2 linked regions of the Alligator mississippiensis genome follow. The protein of the gene in region 1 purifies or fractionates together with the protein of each later gene. This does not show direct contact. Links are inferred from orthologs where the notes say so. Each region holds a gene or a part of one and is shown on either strand. Other genes may lie near its edges.

Region 1 (7,719 bases):
AGTTTCTCTTCCCCTCAAGCACACAGTTCATCTTAAACCAGTGTAAACTTACCCAAAGCAAGGACCCGGAAGTAGTAAAATAATCTTTATTAATTGCAATAATATATATGAATATATTAAAATTATGAATATATATAGATATTTATATGTAGGTATATATATAGATCTCTCTCTCTCTCTCTCTCTATATATATATATATAGTGAGCTATAGATATATGTATCATATTGAAATATACATATATATATTTTTGTTACTGTAAAGATATATTATTGTGAGGTATTTATCTAATTGTGAGATCTCTCTCTCTCTTATTGTGAGATATCTCTATTTATCTTATTGTGAGAGAGATAGATATCTCACAATAAGATCTATCTATCTATCTATCTATCTATCTCACAATAAGAGATATCTCACAATTAGATAGAGATATCTCTCTTTATCTTATTGTGAGATATCTCACAATGAGATATCTCTCTATCTCACAATTAGATATTTAGAGAGATAGATAGATTCATAGATGTTAGGGTCGGAAGGGACCTCAGTAGATCATCGAGTCTGACCCCCTGCTCTGGGCAAGAAAGAGCGCGGCGGTCAGACGACCCCAGCCAGGTGCTTGTCCATGTCACAACCAAATTAAGTAGTGCCCATGTCACAAACAAGTAAAACCATTCAAAACAGTTTTTTTCTGCACTAGGTTAACTAAGGGTTAACAATAATGATAGTAACCGCTTTTTTGCTGCGCATGTCAAAAAGAAATTTATTGCTGCGCCACTAACAGAGATAAAACTTAGCCTTCTGTGCTGTACATAAATTATTATAATTGGTCAAAGAAAACAAGGAGTAACCCTATGATAACACCCTAGTGAAGACCGCTAGATAATTGGCGATTCTAATTAAATTTATGACGTGGCGAAAAGCAATTGGCTATTACACAAATAAAACCCGTCTTCACTTCCGTGAAGAAGGGGAGACCTCCGCACACACACCTGAAAAACCTCTGAACGTATGCGTGAAAATAACTGACAAATTGATCACTTGTCAATCTCCCCCGTCTCGACCTAATCAGACGTAAATCAACGACCTGCCGGCCCGATTTTTTCTCCATTTATCTGCCTGACCGATGAACTCTTATGCAGACCGACCTATGACCTACGAACCTTAAGCTGTAACTAACCAAGTATCTCTGACCTCCGCTATTCACCACCTTGACGGCGTGAGTAAATAATCTTGCTTTGCAACCGATAAGCGTCCGCCTAATTAATTCCACTCCAAGCATCACAAGTACCTGCCTGACGGCCTTCTAAGGCCCCGGACCCTTATCTGCCCGGGTGGGAGTCAGGGAGAGCTGCTGGCCAGCTGCCCTGGGTCCCGACAGTCCAGTCTCCTCTTGAAGACCCCCAGTGTAGGGGAGAGCACCACCTCCCTCGGAAGCCCATTCCAGATTATGGCAAACTTTACTGTGAAGAAGTTCTTCCTGATGTCCAACCTAAATCTGCTCTCCGTCAATTTGTGGCCATTGTTCCTAGTTACTCCAGGGGGTGCCCTAGTAAACAGAGTATCTCCTATTCCCCGCTGCCCTCCACTGATGAATTTATAAGCAGCCACAAGATCACCTCTCAGCCTTCTCTTGCGAAGGCTGAAGAGATCTAGGTCCCTCAGTCTCTCCTCGTAGGGCCTTGCCTGCAGGCCTCTGATCATATGAGTGGCCTCCTCTGAACCCTCTCAAGATTCTCCACATCCCTTAGTTTCATAGTTTCATAGTCAGTAGGGTTGGAAGGGACCTGAGCAGATCATCAAGTCCGACCTCCTGCCATGGTAAGAAAAAGTACTGGTGTCAAACAACCCCAGGAAGGTGTTCATCTAACCTCCTCTTAAAGACCCCCAGGGTAGGAGCCAGCACCACTTTGCTTGGAAGTTGGTTCCAGATCCTAGCCACCCTGACTGTGAAGTAGCGCCTCCTGATGTCTAGCCTGAATCTACCCTCTGCCAGCTTGTGACCGTTATTTCTAGTCACTCCTGGTAGTGCTCGGGGGAACAGGGACTCCCCCAATGCCTGCTGGTCCCCTCTGACTAGTTTGTAACAGGCCACTAGATCCCCCCTCAGCCTTCTCTTGTGGAGGCTGAACCCGTTCAGGTCCCGTAGCCTCTTCTCATAGGGCTTGCCCTGCTGCCCCCTGATCATGCGGGTGGCCCTCCTCTGGACCCTCTCAATGCTGTCCACATCCCTCCTGAAGTGCGGCACCCAGAACTGGACGCAGTACTCCAACTGCGGCCTGACCAGTGTCACATAGAGGGGGAGGATCACCTCCTTGGACCTGCTCGAGATGCACCTATGGATGCATGGCAAGGTGTGGTTGGCCTTCCTGGCCACGTCCCCACACTGTCAGCCCATGTTCATTTTGGCATCAATAATGACTCCAAGATCCTTCTCTGCCTCTGCACTGATGAGAGGGGAATTCCCCAGCCTGTAGGTCTGCTGCTGGTTTTTCCTCCCCAGGTGCAGCACCTTGCACTTGTCAGTGTTGAAACCCATCCTGTTCTCATCTGCCCACCCCTGTAACCTATCTAGGTCTGATTGCAGCCTATTCCTCCCTTCTAGCATGCCCACATCCCCCCACATCATAGTGTCGTCAGCAAATTTGAATAGGGTGCTTTTTACCTCCTCATCCAAGTCGCTGATGAAGATGTTGAACAGTGCAGGTCCGAGGACCGAGCCCTGGGGAACCCCACTGCCCACATCCCTCCAGGTTGAAAATGCCCTGTCCACCACCACTCTCTGGGTGCGGCCCTCCAGCCAGTTAGTGACCCATTTAACTGTGTAGGTGTCGACACCACAGTCCCCTAGTTTTTTAATGAGAATGGGGTGAGGGACCGTGTCGAAGGCCTTCCTGAAATCCAGGAAGACTAGGTCCACTGCTACACCTGCATCTAAGGATTTTGTGACCTGGTCATAGAAGGCCACCAGGTTGGTCTGACAGGACCTGCCTCTAATGAACCTACGTTGGTTGCCCCTAAGCATAACCTCCCCTGCTGGCCCCTCGTGGACATGCACCAGGATAATTCTCTCAAAAAGCTTCCCCAGGATCGAGGTAAGATTAACTGGCCTATCGTTTCCTGGGTCTTCCTTCCTCCCTTTTTTGAAAATGGGAACCACACTGGCCCTTTTCCAGTCCTCTGGCACCACATCAGAGCACCATGAGCGCTCGTAAAACCATGCCAGGGGTCCCGCAATGACCTCTGCTAATTCCCTCAGCACTCTGGGGTGGAGGTCGTCAGGACCAGCTGATTTAAATACATCCAGTCCCTCCAGAAGTTTCCTGACGAGGTCCTCACTGACCCTGGGCCTAGGTGCACCTCCCCTGGGGCCTGAGGGGGTCCCGGCGGATGGGCTGATCTGGTCCGTGCTCAGGAAAATGGAGGCAAATAAATTGTTAAATAGGTTAGCCTTGTCATCTGGTGCAACAACCTCTTGAAGTACGGCGCCCAAAACTGAACGTAGTACTCCAACTGCAGCCTGACCAGTGTCACACAGAGAGGAAGCATCACCTTCATGAACCTGTTCATCATGCATCTGCTAATGCCTGATCAAGTGTGGTTAGCCTTGTTGATCTCTTCGTCACATTGATGATTCACGTTCTTCTTGGAGTTAGCTATGATTCCAAGACCCCTTTCCGCTGCTGCGCTGCTGAGAAGGCCATCCCCCAGCCTGTAAGCGTGTTGGTGGTTCTTCTTGCCCCAGTGTAGCACTTTGCACTTGTCTTTGTTGAACTGTATCCTATTTCGTTCTGCCCATTTTTCCAACCTGTCCATATCCGCCTGGATCTGTTCCCTACCCTCTGGTGTGTTACCTTTGTCCCATAATTTGGTATCATCTGTGAACTTGGACGGGATGCTCTCTATGCCCTCGTCCAAGTCACTGATGAAGACAGTGAACAGCACTGGTCCCAGGACCAAGCCTTGTGGGACTCCACTGCCCACATCTTTCCAGGTTGATACCCACCCATCCACCACCACTCTCTGGGTGTGAACCCTAAGCCAATTTGCCACCCACCTGACCCTGTAATCCTCTACATCACAGCCTGTCAGTTTATTTATGAGAACAGAATGAGATACCGTATCGAATGCCTTCTTCAAGTCCAGGTAGATGACATCTATCTTGACTCCTGCGTCTAAGCATTTTGTGACCTGGTCATAACAAGATCAAGGTTAGTCAGGCAGGATCTACCTTCAATGAACCTGTGCTGATTTCCTTTCAGCATTATATCCCCTGCGAGGCTCCCTAAGCAGTTTGTGATTAGATAGATAGATAGATAGATAGATAGATAGATAGATAGATAGATAGATAGATAGATATGTCTGTCTGTCTGTCTGTCTGTCTTATTGTGAGATCTCTCTCTCTCATTGTGAGCTATCTATAGATATCTGTATGTTACGCTGATGAAGATAATCTGACCTGCTCTGTCCCCGGACTTGGCTGGGATGCCGTGGCCGTGGCCGTGGCCGTGCGGGCGGACCCGCTGGGTGCGGAGCGCGGCTGCTCGGGCGGGGGCGGGGGGCCGGCGCTGAGGCTCCGGGGGCGGAAGCCGCGGGGTTGGTGCTGCTGCCGCCGGCGCCGCGTTGCAGAGTCTGGCGGGCGGCGGCGGGACGATGCAGGCAGGCAGAGACTGGGCGGGCTTCGGGGGGCGCCGCGCAGAGCCCCCCCGGGCCGCCCCGTCCGCGCCCTTGCCCTTGCCCTTGCCCTTGCCCCTGCACCTGCCCGCCGTGCAGCAGAACCTGAGCTACGTGCCCCGGCCCGAGCTGTGGGTGGACAGCGGTGCCCCGCCGCCGCCGGCGCCGCCCGTGCCGGCCAGGCCCCGCGCCAAGCGCAGCAGCCCCGGCGGGAGCGGGAGCGGGGGCAGGGGCGGCGGCGGCCCGTGCCCCGGCCTGGCGCTGTGGGCGCTGGCGCTGCTGGCGCTGCTGGCGCTGGCGGGAGCGGGGCTCGGCTTGTTCCAGATCGTGCAGCTGCAGAAGGAGCTGGCGGAGCTGCGGGAGGTAAGGCGGAGGGAGGGAGGCCGCCTGTGGCAGGGCTGCTGGGGCCCTGATGCTGTGGTCCCCTGCTGAGTGTCCCTCTCTCTTGGCAGGCCACCAGCCCCGGGCACCTGCCCCCAGCTGCGGAGAAGCACACAGGTGAGAGCCCCTGGGCCGGGGACGTCTGAGCCCTCCCTCGCCTGCTCTGGGGTGAGCCGTGGCCCACCGGCAGCAGGACGTCGCAATACTGTAGTCACTGGGGAGCCTCCTGCCTTCTCCTGGGCCACAGGGCAGGCTTCGCCCTGGACGCTGGGCTGCCTCGGCAAGGAGGTGCCTCCTCGCTTTGGGCAGAGGAGCAGGTGTCCCTTTGCGGGTCACAAGGGCCCGGGGACCCCAGCGCTCTTCTTCTGCGTGAAGGAAGCGTGCCCAGTGCAGACAGGCCAGGCGACCACTGATGAGAGATGGGCCCAGCCCAGGTTCCCAGACCTGAAAACCCAGGAGCAACCGAATCCTGACTTGGATGCCAGCCCCTTGTGAAGCTTGCGCTTCATTAATGAAATGTCTGGCTTCCTTATGTCTGGACCCAGAGGAATAGACTTCCACCTTCAGCTGCCTCTGTGCAAAAATGAAGCTTATTTCTTTACCTATGGGGACTTTTTACCATCTTTAATTTTCCCTGAGAGTCTCAGGAAGGGCGTGCTTGCCCAAAAACTTGCAGAAAAAAATAATTTTTTTGCAGTTCTTTAGTTGGTGTAATAAAAGGTGTTGTCTCTGAACCAAGAGGTCTAGAGTCTTACATTTCTTTTTGTCTCAGACCAACCCTGCTACAAATACAACCCTGGCTTCCTTATTACACTATAAGTGATGCATGTAAGGAGAGAGGGGTGCCTAACACTATTATTTGTCTTCCTCCTCCCTGATGGTTATTTTTTTCTTTTTCCCTTAAAGTACAACATAATTTTCTTAAGTATCTTCTGTATATGTTCCATTGGGGTAACCAAAATTGCCCCAAAGTTTCCTAAGATTTGAAGAATATGGTTTCAATGAAATTGAAAGTTACCATGGGAACATGTACATTTTCATGAAACTTCACGCCAGGAAAAAAAAAAAGCAACCCCTTTTTGGGAAGGCTCTCTTGATTCTTTGCTTCAGAATGACTTTTCATTTTTCAAATTTGATTTTTCTGTCATGAATTGCAAATTGAAAATGGATAGACAACTGAATCTAAAAACGTCTTTTAATTTTTTCTTTAATGAAACATTTTGATGCATCTGAAACAATTTGTATTCCTCAAAATATTGTTTTCTGAGACATTTTGAAATGTTTTGGTTTTGTTCTGATGCAATTTTGAAATTGGGGAATTTCCTGCAAAATGGAAATTCTGATTCCCCCACAATTCTAGTTGTAACTTAGGTTCTTTATCAGCCTTTGGGAGTGAGGACTGTCTGCTTAATTGCACATTCAGTGCCTTGAAGAAGGAGACCCTACTTTCTCCTTGGGTCTCTTGGCACAGCCATAATCTCAAAGAACAAATGCTGATCCACAAATTCTTTAGAATTAAATATTACAGGGGAAATAGTACCCACAAGTATCTGGGTCCCTATAGTGCACATTTGCTTTGGAAAGCTGTTGCCAAAACTAGCTGACATGGGGCACTTTAGTCTCAGTGCACTTTTCTTGTACTGGTCGCATGGTCAACTGACTCAGCTCTCCACTAGGGTCTAAATCAGACTACAGACTCTTCACCTAACACAGTTTTTCCAGTTACTTGGTATCTTAGGAAATTTATCTGCTTTTGCCTTACATTTTTACAGCCCCCTTAAAATTTTATGCTACCTCCCTTTGTAGCAAAGACTTAATAGTTAAGAGCTGTGTATAAGAAGTCTTCAGGTGGCCTCCCAGAGCTAGAAGTTGCAGGAGTGTTGACTGGCACCTTGAATCTGCTCATTGCAATTGGGACATTAGTCCTTGGCCATAATAAACTAATTGTAGATAATTTGTGTATTGCTGCCAGGTCATTTTTGGCTTTGGCAGCTTGGAAGAGAGTTTAGTTTATTATTATTAGTGATGTGGGCTTATACTCTGCATGGACTATGAGAGTGATTCAGTCAGAACAAAGCCCAGAAGTGCAGCTATTTGTGCAATGCTGTCCTGTAGCATATCATGGGGGCAGGGGGGAATCCTTTTTTTAACCCATCTGGTGATCAGTTGCTCTCTCAAATCACAAAGTCTTGTCCCTTCATGTATTTTTTTCTAACTTGTTCTGATCCTTCTATAGTAACAGTCCTCTCTTTAAACTTTCCAGGCTACAGTATTTACCTGAATAGTGTCCCACAGCAGATAGTCCCATAGTTACTAATGCCTGCAGGATGTCTTGCATTATCTATTCCATAGTAAATCTGTCTCTCTAATTCCATGAGGAGTGTCCCTTTCTAATGTCATTTCATTATCAGGTCCTCTTCACAGAATTTGCAGCTAACTCCTTCTTTATTTTTATGCAGGGCTTCCAAATGCAACAGAAAAGATCATGGAAAAGAAAGAGGTCAGGAAAGCAGTACACTTAACGGGTAGGTGATTGAGGGCAGAGAAGCAACATTTGCTGTGTATGAAGAAATTAAACTTCACAGCACCCACTTCTGAAGTCAGTGGGTGTAATTTCCATTTGACAGATGAAGGAGCTGAAGTTACGTGATTTGCCCAAATTACTTTC
Region 2 (7,666 bases), on another chromosome or scaffold:
AGCCTTGAATATCAGTGTACTTGACCCACAGGCTCCTATTATAGGTTTTATTTCTGTTGAAAGACTGACTTGAACTAAAAATAAGGCTCCTCCTAAGAAACAGGAGTATTTTCTTTATTAAATAATAGGTCTCTACATTTAAGCTGAGCTAAAGCTCCCTTTATTTAAGGGTCATCACACTGTTTCCAGGTATTTGCAGCACTCCCATCCCCAACCCAATAAAGCTTAAAAGGTAACAAATGGCACAATACAAATTAAATCAAAACCTTGCAAGCTACTGTGGCGATGGAGGTAAATGATAAGCCATTTTTTCTCTAAGAAATCTACTAGTAAACTGAAGAAATTCTGTGAAGCAAACAGCATTTTTCTAGCAAAAAGCTTTACAAGTTTTACTAAAGCCTCCTTGTGAACTTGCAAATCAGAGCAGCATTCACTTTTTCACAAATAGGAAAGCAAAGCAACAGGGAAATTAATGGTAACATTTTCTGAAGCATATGGTACTTTTGGATGCCTCATCATTAGGTATCCAACATGATGCATGCAATATGATTTTCAGGAGTACCAAGTAGTCCTCAATTCAACTGACACAGATTAAAGCTGAGGGCCTTCAGAACCTCTAAACAAAAAAAAAAAAACAAGATCTAAATGTCTGGAATAAGACTCTCAGACGCACCCATGTCCCTCCACTGACAACAACGCTAAAAGGCACTTTAGGGGGAGGGGGGCAGGGCAGGAAACCAATTGGAGAGAGTGCAGAAAGCTCTTCAATTTACTTGACAATAGTACAGCAAGAGCTGATGGCTGAAAGCTTAAAGCTAAACAGTACCAAATTCAAAATAGAGCGCATTTATGAACAGCGAGTTAGTTAACTGCTGGAAGTCTTGACTGAGAGTTGTGACGGAGTTTCCATTTTTTAACATTAAAATTAGCTACTTTTTCAAAAATACAACATTCAAATACAGAAAGTTGTTCGGGGAGGTCCTGTGTTTTTGCAGGTCAGATTAAGATCAGTTGTTCTCAGTGTTTTAGGCACCCCTTGGAAAATGCTAACTTTGCTCTCACTCAGTTTTGAGCGCAGAAAAACAACAGAGGAACTCTTCTGTTGCAAAGAACACAAACACCACATGTCTGAATGTTTCTGATGCTCTGGAATCTTATTGGAAGCCTCTGAGTTTGTCAATCACGTGTCAGTCTTCGTGCTAATAGTAGTAATATTGTGTGGCACCCTTAAAACTTTCTGCTTGAGAATCAATTAACTAGATGATCACAACAGTCTTCTGGCTTAAATCACTGTATATAGAGCATTAAAATGTGGTCTTCTCTCAAAAAACCCCCAAAAAACCTAAACCAACCCTCATCCACCAAGTCACGGTAACACAAATCCGAAACAAGATTTGGTAACATTTTTGCAAGTACCTCCCCAACATTTAGCAGGATCTAATAGGAGTTAGCAAGTTTGAAAGGGGAAGAGGACCGCTTGGGGTAAAGATAACTGTGACAACTAAAATCCTACTTCATATAAGTAAAAAATAGCTAGCTATGTTTCTGAATGGTGTACTGAAGTTGCATGGACCATCAACAATTAAAAGTAGAACCTATTGTTGATAATCTAAAGCATGACAGATAAAGCTTTCTTAAATGTATTGCACGCTAAGGCCAAGGTAACAGGCTACTCTCTTATCAGTATATCAAAACAAAAAGCCAAGTAGGTATTTACACCTGAAAGAAAACCCAGCTTCCCCTCAAAATTAAGGAGATGAAGCTGAAAACTGTTGCAGCTCTACTGCCCACCAGGTAATTGTATTGAAGAGAGTATTCTTCTCTAAACAAGTTACAAACTACGATAAAAGTGGGAAGAAAGACAGAGCACACACTGCTGACCCAGAGTACACTATTGCAAATCTTTATAAAGTACTGTAGTATATAAACTCCAAGATTAAACCGTGCCTCAGTCAGATACCAGTAGCAGAGATATATTTAAATGTTACAATAAGGTAAGAAAAACCCTGAACGAGGTGGTGTTTATGTAGCCCACACCTTTCACTCAAAGTCACATTCCCTCTCCAACAAGTATTCTACTGATTCTAGAAAGTCGATGGCTGAGTGACAGGGACAAGTTTCAGAGGTCATGGATGAAAACCCAATTACAGTCTTGGTTTCTGTGACAGCTACAGCAACAAAGTGCTGGTTTCTTACACTCTTCGCTCACCACATCCAAAGGTGCCCCCAGGACCACCACAACTCTCCACTTCCTTGCTGCAAGACAGCACAGCAACGGCAAAGCGGTCACTTTAGGTTATCTCCTGTCTGAGAGGGCCCTTACTTCAGCAGCTGGTATCAAGAAATGCCCATCGCCTCTCTGAAAGGATAACTGTGGCCTGTGTGTGGCCTGCAGCTCCATGACACAGAACAGCCCTGGCTCCCGCCCGGTCCAGAAGAGCACAAAACAACTGCAGTCACTCCCTCTGCCTGAAGAAGGGTGCTCCTACCCGAAAGCTTGCAAAAAACAGCTTTTCCAACTATTTTCTAATAAAAGAGATCGGGTTTACCCTAAGAACCTCGTCTGCCCGTGCCCTTAGACCAACGGGGCTACAACCAACCCCACGAGTTTCTTCCCTGGCAATCAAACCAATTAAGCGGACAGAGAGTGGCAACAAAAAGCAGCACCTCTCCAGACAGGGCTTCCAACAGCTCCTCCCCAAAACCAAGCCAGCCCTGGCACCCGGGCAGCGCCAGGGGGGGAGCGGGGCGGCAGACTGAGGCGACCAGCGGGCGGGTGCCGCGGGAAAGGGGCCGGGCCGGGGGGCACCCCAGCGGCTGTCCGCCCCGGGCTCTGCGTCCTGGGAGCACGGCCCAGACCGCAGGGAGCCGGGCCCAGGCCCTGCCCGAGGGAGACGGGACCCCAAGCCCGCAGCGGGGGGAAGAGGGGGTCCCGGGGCTGCGGCCCCGGCCTGGTGTTCACCTTGGCGGCCATGGCGGCGGTGCGGGGCCTCCCTCCGCCCGCTCCTGCTCCTCCGTCCGCTCCCGATCCCGGTCCCGCCCGCTGGCGCGGAGGCGGCTCCTACCCTGGCCGCGGCAACCGGGGCAGTGGGGGGCGGGGCCCGGCCTCTGCCCTATCCACGCCCGCTCCCGCCCCCCGCCACGGGCAGCACGGGACCGGGCCGAGGGCGGGATTGGGCCGGGGCTGGTGCCGCGCGCGGCGGGGAGAGCGGCGCTCCGGGGGCCGGGGCCGCCTCAGCCACGTGTGTGTGCGACACAGACAGACAGCTAGTGCGTGCATGCATGCGTGTGGGAGAAGAGGAAGAGTCCGTCCCGTGTGTGAGATACGCGTGTACTGGTGTGCGCACGTGTGTGTTGGTTCGGGCGGGGGAGGAGGACTAGTCCGTCCCGCGTGTGTCCTCTGTGTGTGTGTCTTTGTGTGGGGGAGGAGGAATAGTCTGTCCTCTGTGTGTGTTCACGTGGGGGACAAGTGTATGCATGTGTTTTCATGTGGGGAAGAAATAGTCTGTTGCGTGTGTGCGTGCATGCGTGTGTCTAGGAAAGGAAGAATAGTCCATCCCATTTGTGTGCGTGTGCTGTGTGGAAGGAAGACTAGTGCATCCTGTGTGTGTGCTCATGTGTGGAAAGAGAAATAGTCTGTCCCACGTGTGTCCTGTGTGAGTGTGTTTTTGTGTGGGGGAGGAGGATTAGTTTGTCTCATCTGTGGAGGGGAAAGCTGCTGGCCCACCAGCCATTAGCCTTGAAGCAGGAGTTTCAGAAACCTGCATCTGGAGGAAATTAATCTTCCATGACATCAAGTTTCTTCCACAGCATTTTTTTTTTTGGTCTGTACTTCACTCGTCATCGGCATGTGTCATGTGGGTGGGCCCTGGCAGGCATTGGTAATTATGCAGAGTACTACAGTATCACCTAAGGGACCAACCAGACCGGAGCCCTATTGTATGAGGTGCTGTACACGGATATAGAATAAAGGTTATTCTTAAACCTGCTTAATTTACAGCCTTTGAAAATGAGGTAATGGGTAGATTAAAATGGGGAGGTAGGGAATACAGGGACAGCAATACAAACAAACATCTGCATACACTCACTGTGTGCATAGTTTGTAAATGCAGTGGTAGTGGGAGGGGGCAGCTTTAGCCACATCTTCAATCCCAAGTTAAAGAAATAGGGTAATTATACAGTTGTCCTCAGGAAGTTAGAGAGGGTCCGAAGACGAGCAACAAAAAAGATAAAGGGCAAGCCGTGTGAGATGTTGAAGGAAATAGGCATATTCAGCTTGCAGAAAAGGTGCTTAAGAGGGGACATGATAATAGACTTCAAATATCTGAAGGGCTGCCATCAAGATGAGGGAGAAGACCTTTTCTGTCTTGCTACAAACAGCAGGAACTCAGACCAATGACTTGAAGTTGCAGCAACATAGGTTTATACTGGAGATGAGGAAAAACTATGAACTGTTCAGGAAGGACAGGCAGAGGAGAAGAGGAGGAGTTGCACTTTGTGTAAAAGAGCTGTGTGATTGCTCATAGCTCCAGTATGAAATGAGACAGGCCCACTGAAAGCCTCTGGCTTAGGGTCAGAGGGGAGAGCAACAAGGGTGATGTCGTGGTGGGGGTCTGCTATAGGACCACCAGACCAGGAGGATGAGGTGGACAAGGCTTTCTTCAAACAGCTAGTGGAAATTTCCTGATTGCAGGCCCTGGTTTTCATGGGGGACTTCAATCACCCTGACATCTGCTGGGAGCGCAATACAGCAGTACGCAGGCAATCCATGGAGTTTTTGGAGAGTGCTGGGAACAACTTCCTGGTGCAAGTGAAGGAGTGACCAACTAAGGGCCATGCTCTTCTTGACCTGCTGCTCACAAACAGGGAAGATTTGGTGGGGAATATAGAAGTGGATGGGAACTTGGGCAGCAGCAACCAAAAGGTGACTGAGTTCAGGATCCTGAGGAAAAGGCAGGATGGAGAACAGCAGAGTAAAGACCCTGGACTTAAGAAAATCACCTTTTCACTCAGGGAACTGATGGGCAGGATCCTCTGGGAGGCCAGTCTGATGGGGAAAGGAATCCAGGAGGACTGGTTATGTTTTAAAGAAACTACTTGAGGGTGCAGGAATGAACCATCCCAATGTACAGGAAGACTAATAAGTATGGCAGAAGAGCAGCTTAGCTTAGCAGGAAACTCTTAAATGAGCTAAAACACAGAAAGGAAGCTTATAAGAAATGGAAACTTGGACAGACTAGGGAGGGGAGTATAAGAGAACTGCATGGGCATGCAGGAATGACAATCACGAAGGTCAAAGCACGGCTAGAGTTGCAGCTAGCAAGGGACATGGAGGGTAACAAGAAGGGTTTCTACAAGTATGTCAGTAACAAGAGGAAGATCAGGGAAAATGTGGGTCCCTTAGAATGGGGAGGCAGCCTAGTGACAGAGGATGTGGAAAAGTTTGAAGTACTCAATGCCTTTTTCAGCTCAGTCTTTACAGGCAAGGTCAGCCCCCAAACTACTGCACTGGGCAGCACAATTTGGGGAGGAGGTGAGCAGCTGGCAGTGGTGAAAGAACAGGTTAAGGACTAATTAGAAAAGGTGGATGTGTACAAGTCCACAGGACTGAATGGGATGCACCCAAGAGTGCTGAGGGAGGTGGCCAATGCGATTGCAGAGCGTCTGGCCATGATCTTTGAAAACTCATCGTGGTCAGGGGAGGTCCTGGATGATAGGAAAAGGGCAAATATAGTGCCCATCTTTAAGAAAGGGAAGAAAAAGGATCTAGGGAACTACAGACTAATCAGCCTCACCTCAGTCTCTGAATAATAGAATCATAGAAAATTAGTTTGGAAGGGACCTCATGAGGTCATCTAGCCTAACCCCCTGCTCACAGCAGAACCATCCCCAACTAGATCATCCCAACCAAGGCTTTGTCTAGCCAAGTCTTAAAAACCTCCAAGAATGGAGGTTCCACAACCTCTCTGGATAACCTGTTCTAACGCTTTACTACCCTGCTAGTGAGAGAGTTTTTCCCAATATCTAACCTAAATTTCCCTTGCTGCAACTTGAGACCATTGGTCCTTGTTCTGCCATCACTGAGAACAGTCCAGCTCCATCCTCTTTGGAACCCCTCATCAGGTAGTTGAAGGCTGTTATCCAATTCCCCTCAGTCTTCTTTCTCCTCTCCAAACTAAATAAGGCCAGATCCCTCACACTTTCTTCATAAGTCAGGTGCCCCAGCCCCTTCACCATTGTTGTTGCCTTCTGCTGAACTCTCCCATTTGTCTACATCCTTTCTGTAGTGGGAGCCCCAGAACTGGACACAGTACTCCAGATGTGGCCTCACCAGTGCCAAATAGAAGGAAAGAATCACTGATCTGCTGGCAACACTCCTACTAATCCAGCCCAGTATACTCTTAGCCTTCTTGGCAACAAGGGCACACTGTTGGCTCATATTCAGCTTATTGTTCCCCAGGTCATTTTCTGCAGAGCTGCTGCCCAGCCAGTCAGCCCCCAGCCTGTACTGGGACATGGGATTGCTCTGTCCTAAGTGCAGGACTTTGCACTCGTCCTTATTGAACCTCATAAGATTTCTTTTGGTCCAATCCTTCAATTTGTTGAGGTCTCTCTGTCTGAATCCTAACTCTACCCTCCAGCATGTCTACTACTCCCCCCCAGCTTGGTGTCATCTGCAAACTTGCAGTGGGTACGCTCTATGCCATCTTCCAGGTTACTAATGAAGATATTGAACAAAATTAGTCCCAGGACTGACTCCTGAGGCACTCCACTTGATACTAGCTGCCAAGTAGACATCAAGCCATTGACTACTATCCTCTGAGCCCGATGATCCAGCCAGGTTTCTATCCACTGTATAGTCCATTCATCTAGCCCATACTTCCTTAGCTTCCTTAGCTTGCTTGCAAGAATGTTGTGGGAAACCATATCAAAAGCCTTGCTAAAGTCAATGTATACCACATCCACAGAACCAGTCATCACATCATAGGAAGCAGTCAGGTTGGTCAGGCATGACTTGCCCTTGGTGGATCCATGCTGACTGTTCCTAATTATTTTCTCCTCCAGGTGTTTAGAGTGTTTGTCAATACCCCCCACCCCCAGCTCATCAAAACTCCCTAAGTGGCTCTGTCTCAGGCTTGGCCAGGTGGGGAGCAGCATCTGGGAGTGGGGCAGGCAGGCAGGGTTAAGGCAGAGCACTGGCTCATGGGCAAGGGCATATGGGGAACAGATTGTGACTCTTCCCTGGGCCCCAGCCCCATGTTGACTCCAGCAATCCCAGGTTCTCCATGAAAACCAGCCAAGGTCCGCGTGGGCAGGGTACATCACTGGGCAGATGGGATGGGGTCATGGGCAAGCAGAGAGCGTCTGGCAGTGGGATGGGTGGGCAGGGACTTGTGGGCAATGGATTGTGGCTCTCCCCTGGGCCCCAGCCCTGCACAGTCACCACTCAGCAATCCTGATCTCATCCCTGGCCCTGCCTGTCCGCAGCCCTATCTGGGCCAGTCTCCATGGTGACCCTGCCCACGTGATCCATCCGCAGTGCCTGACAGTGGGTACAGGGCAGATGGGCCTAGATGCCCAGGCAGCAGAGCTGAGTCCAGCAGTGGAGAGTGGCAGCAGCAGCTGGAAGGAGCTGCCACCACCAGGACGGCCAGGAAGCAAATCC

Evidence for each region.
Region 2: the proteins of FASLG (region 1) and SNX9 purify together in Homo sapiens (co-immunoprecipitation; 3 studies listed by BioGRID and IntAct, with this or other methods). This does not show direct contact. The link is inferred for Alligator mississippiensis from reciprocal best matches to the Homo sapiens genes FASLG and SNX9.

Annotation. Positions count from the first base shown.
Region 1 is NC_081828.1:44,379,707-44,387,425, reverse strand, and holds the start of FASLG (tumor necrosis factor ligand superfamily member 6), read left to right. Parts: upstream 1-4,617; 5' UTR 4,618-4,649; coding exon 4,650-5,033; intron 5,034-5,122; coding exon 5,123-5,168; intron 5,169-7,510; coding exon 7,511-7,576; intron 7,577-7,719. UniProt on the Homo sapiens protein: Cytokine that binds to TNFRSF6/FAS, a receptor that transduces the apoptotic signal into cells. Involved in cytotoxic T-cell-mediated apoptosis, natural killer cell-mediated apoptosis and in T-cell development.
Region 2 is NC_081824.1:136,046,470-136,054,135, reverse strand, and holds the start of SNX9 (sorting nexin-9), read right to left. Parts: upstream 3,128-7,666; 5' UTR 2,975-3,127; coding exon of another isoform or gene 2,963-2,974; intron 1-2,962. UniProt on the Homo sapiens protein: Involved in endocytosis and intracellular vesicle trafficking, both during interphase and at the end of mitosis. Required for efficient progress through mitosis and cytokinesis. Required for normal formation of the cleavage furrow at the end of mitosis.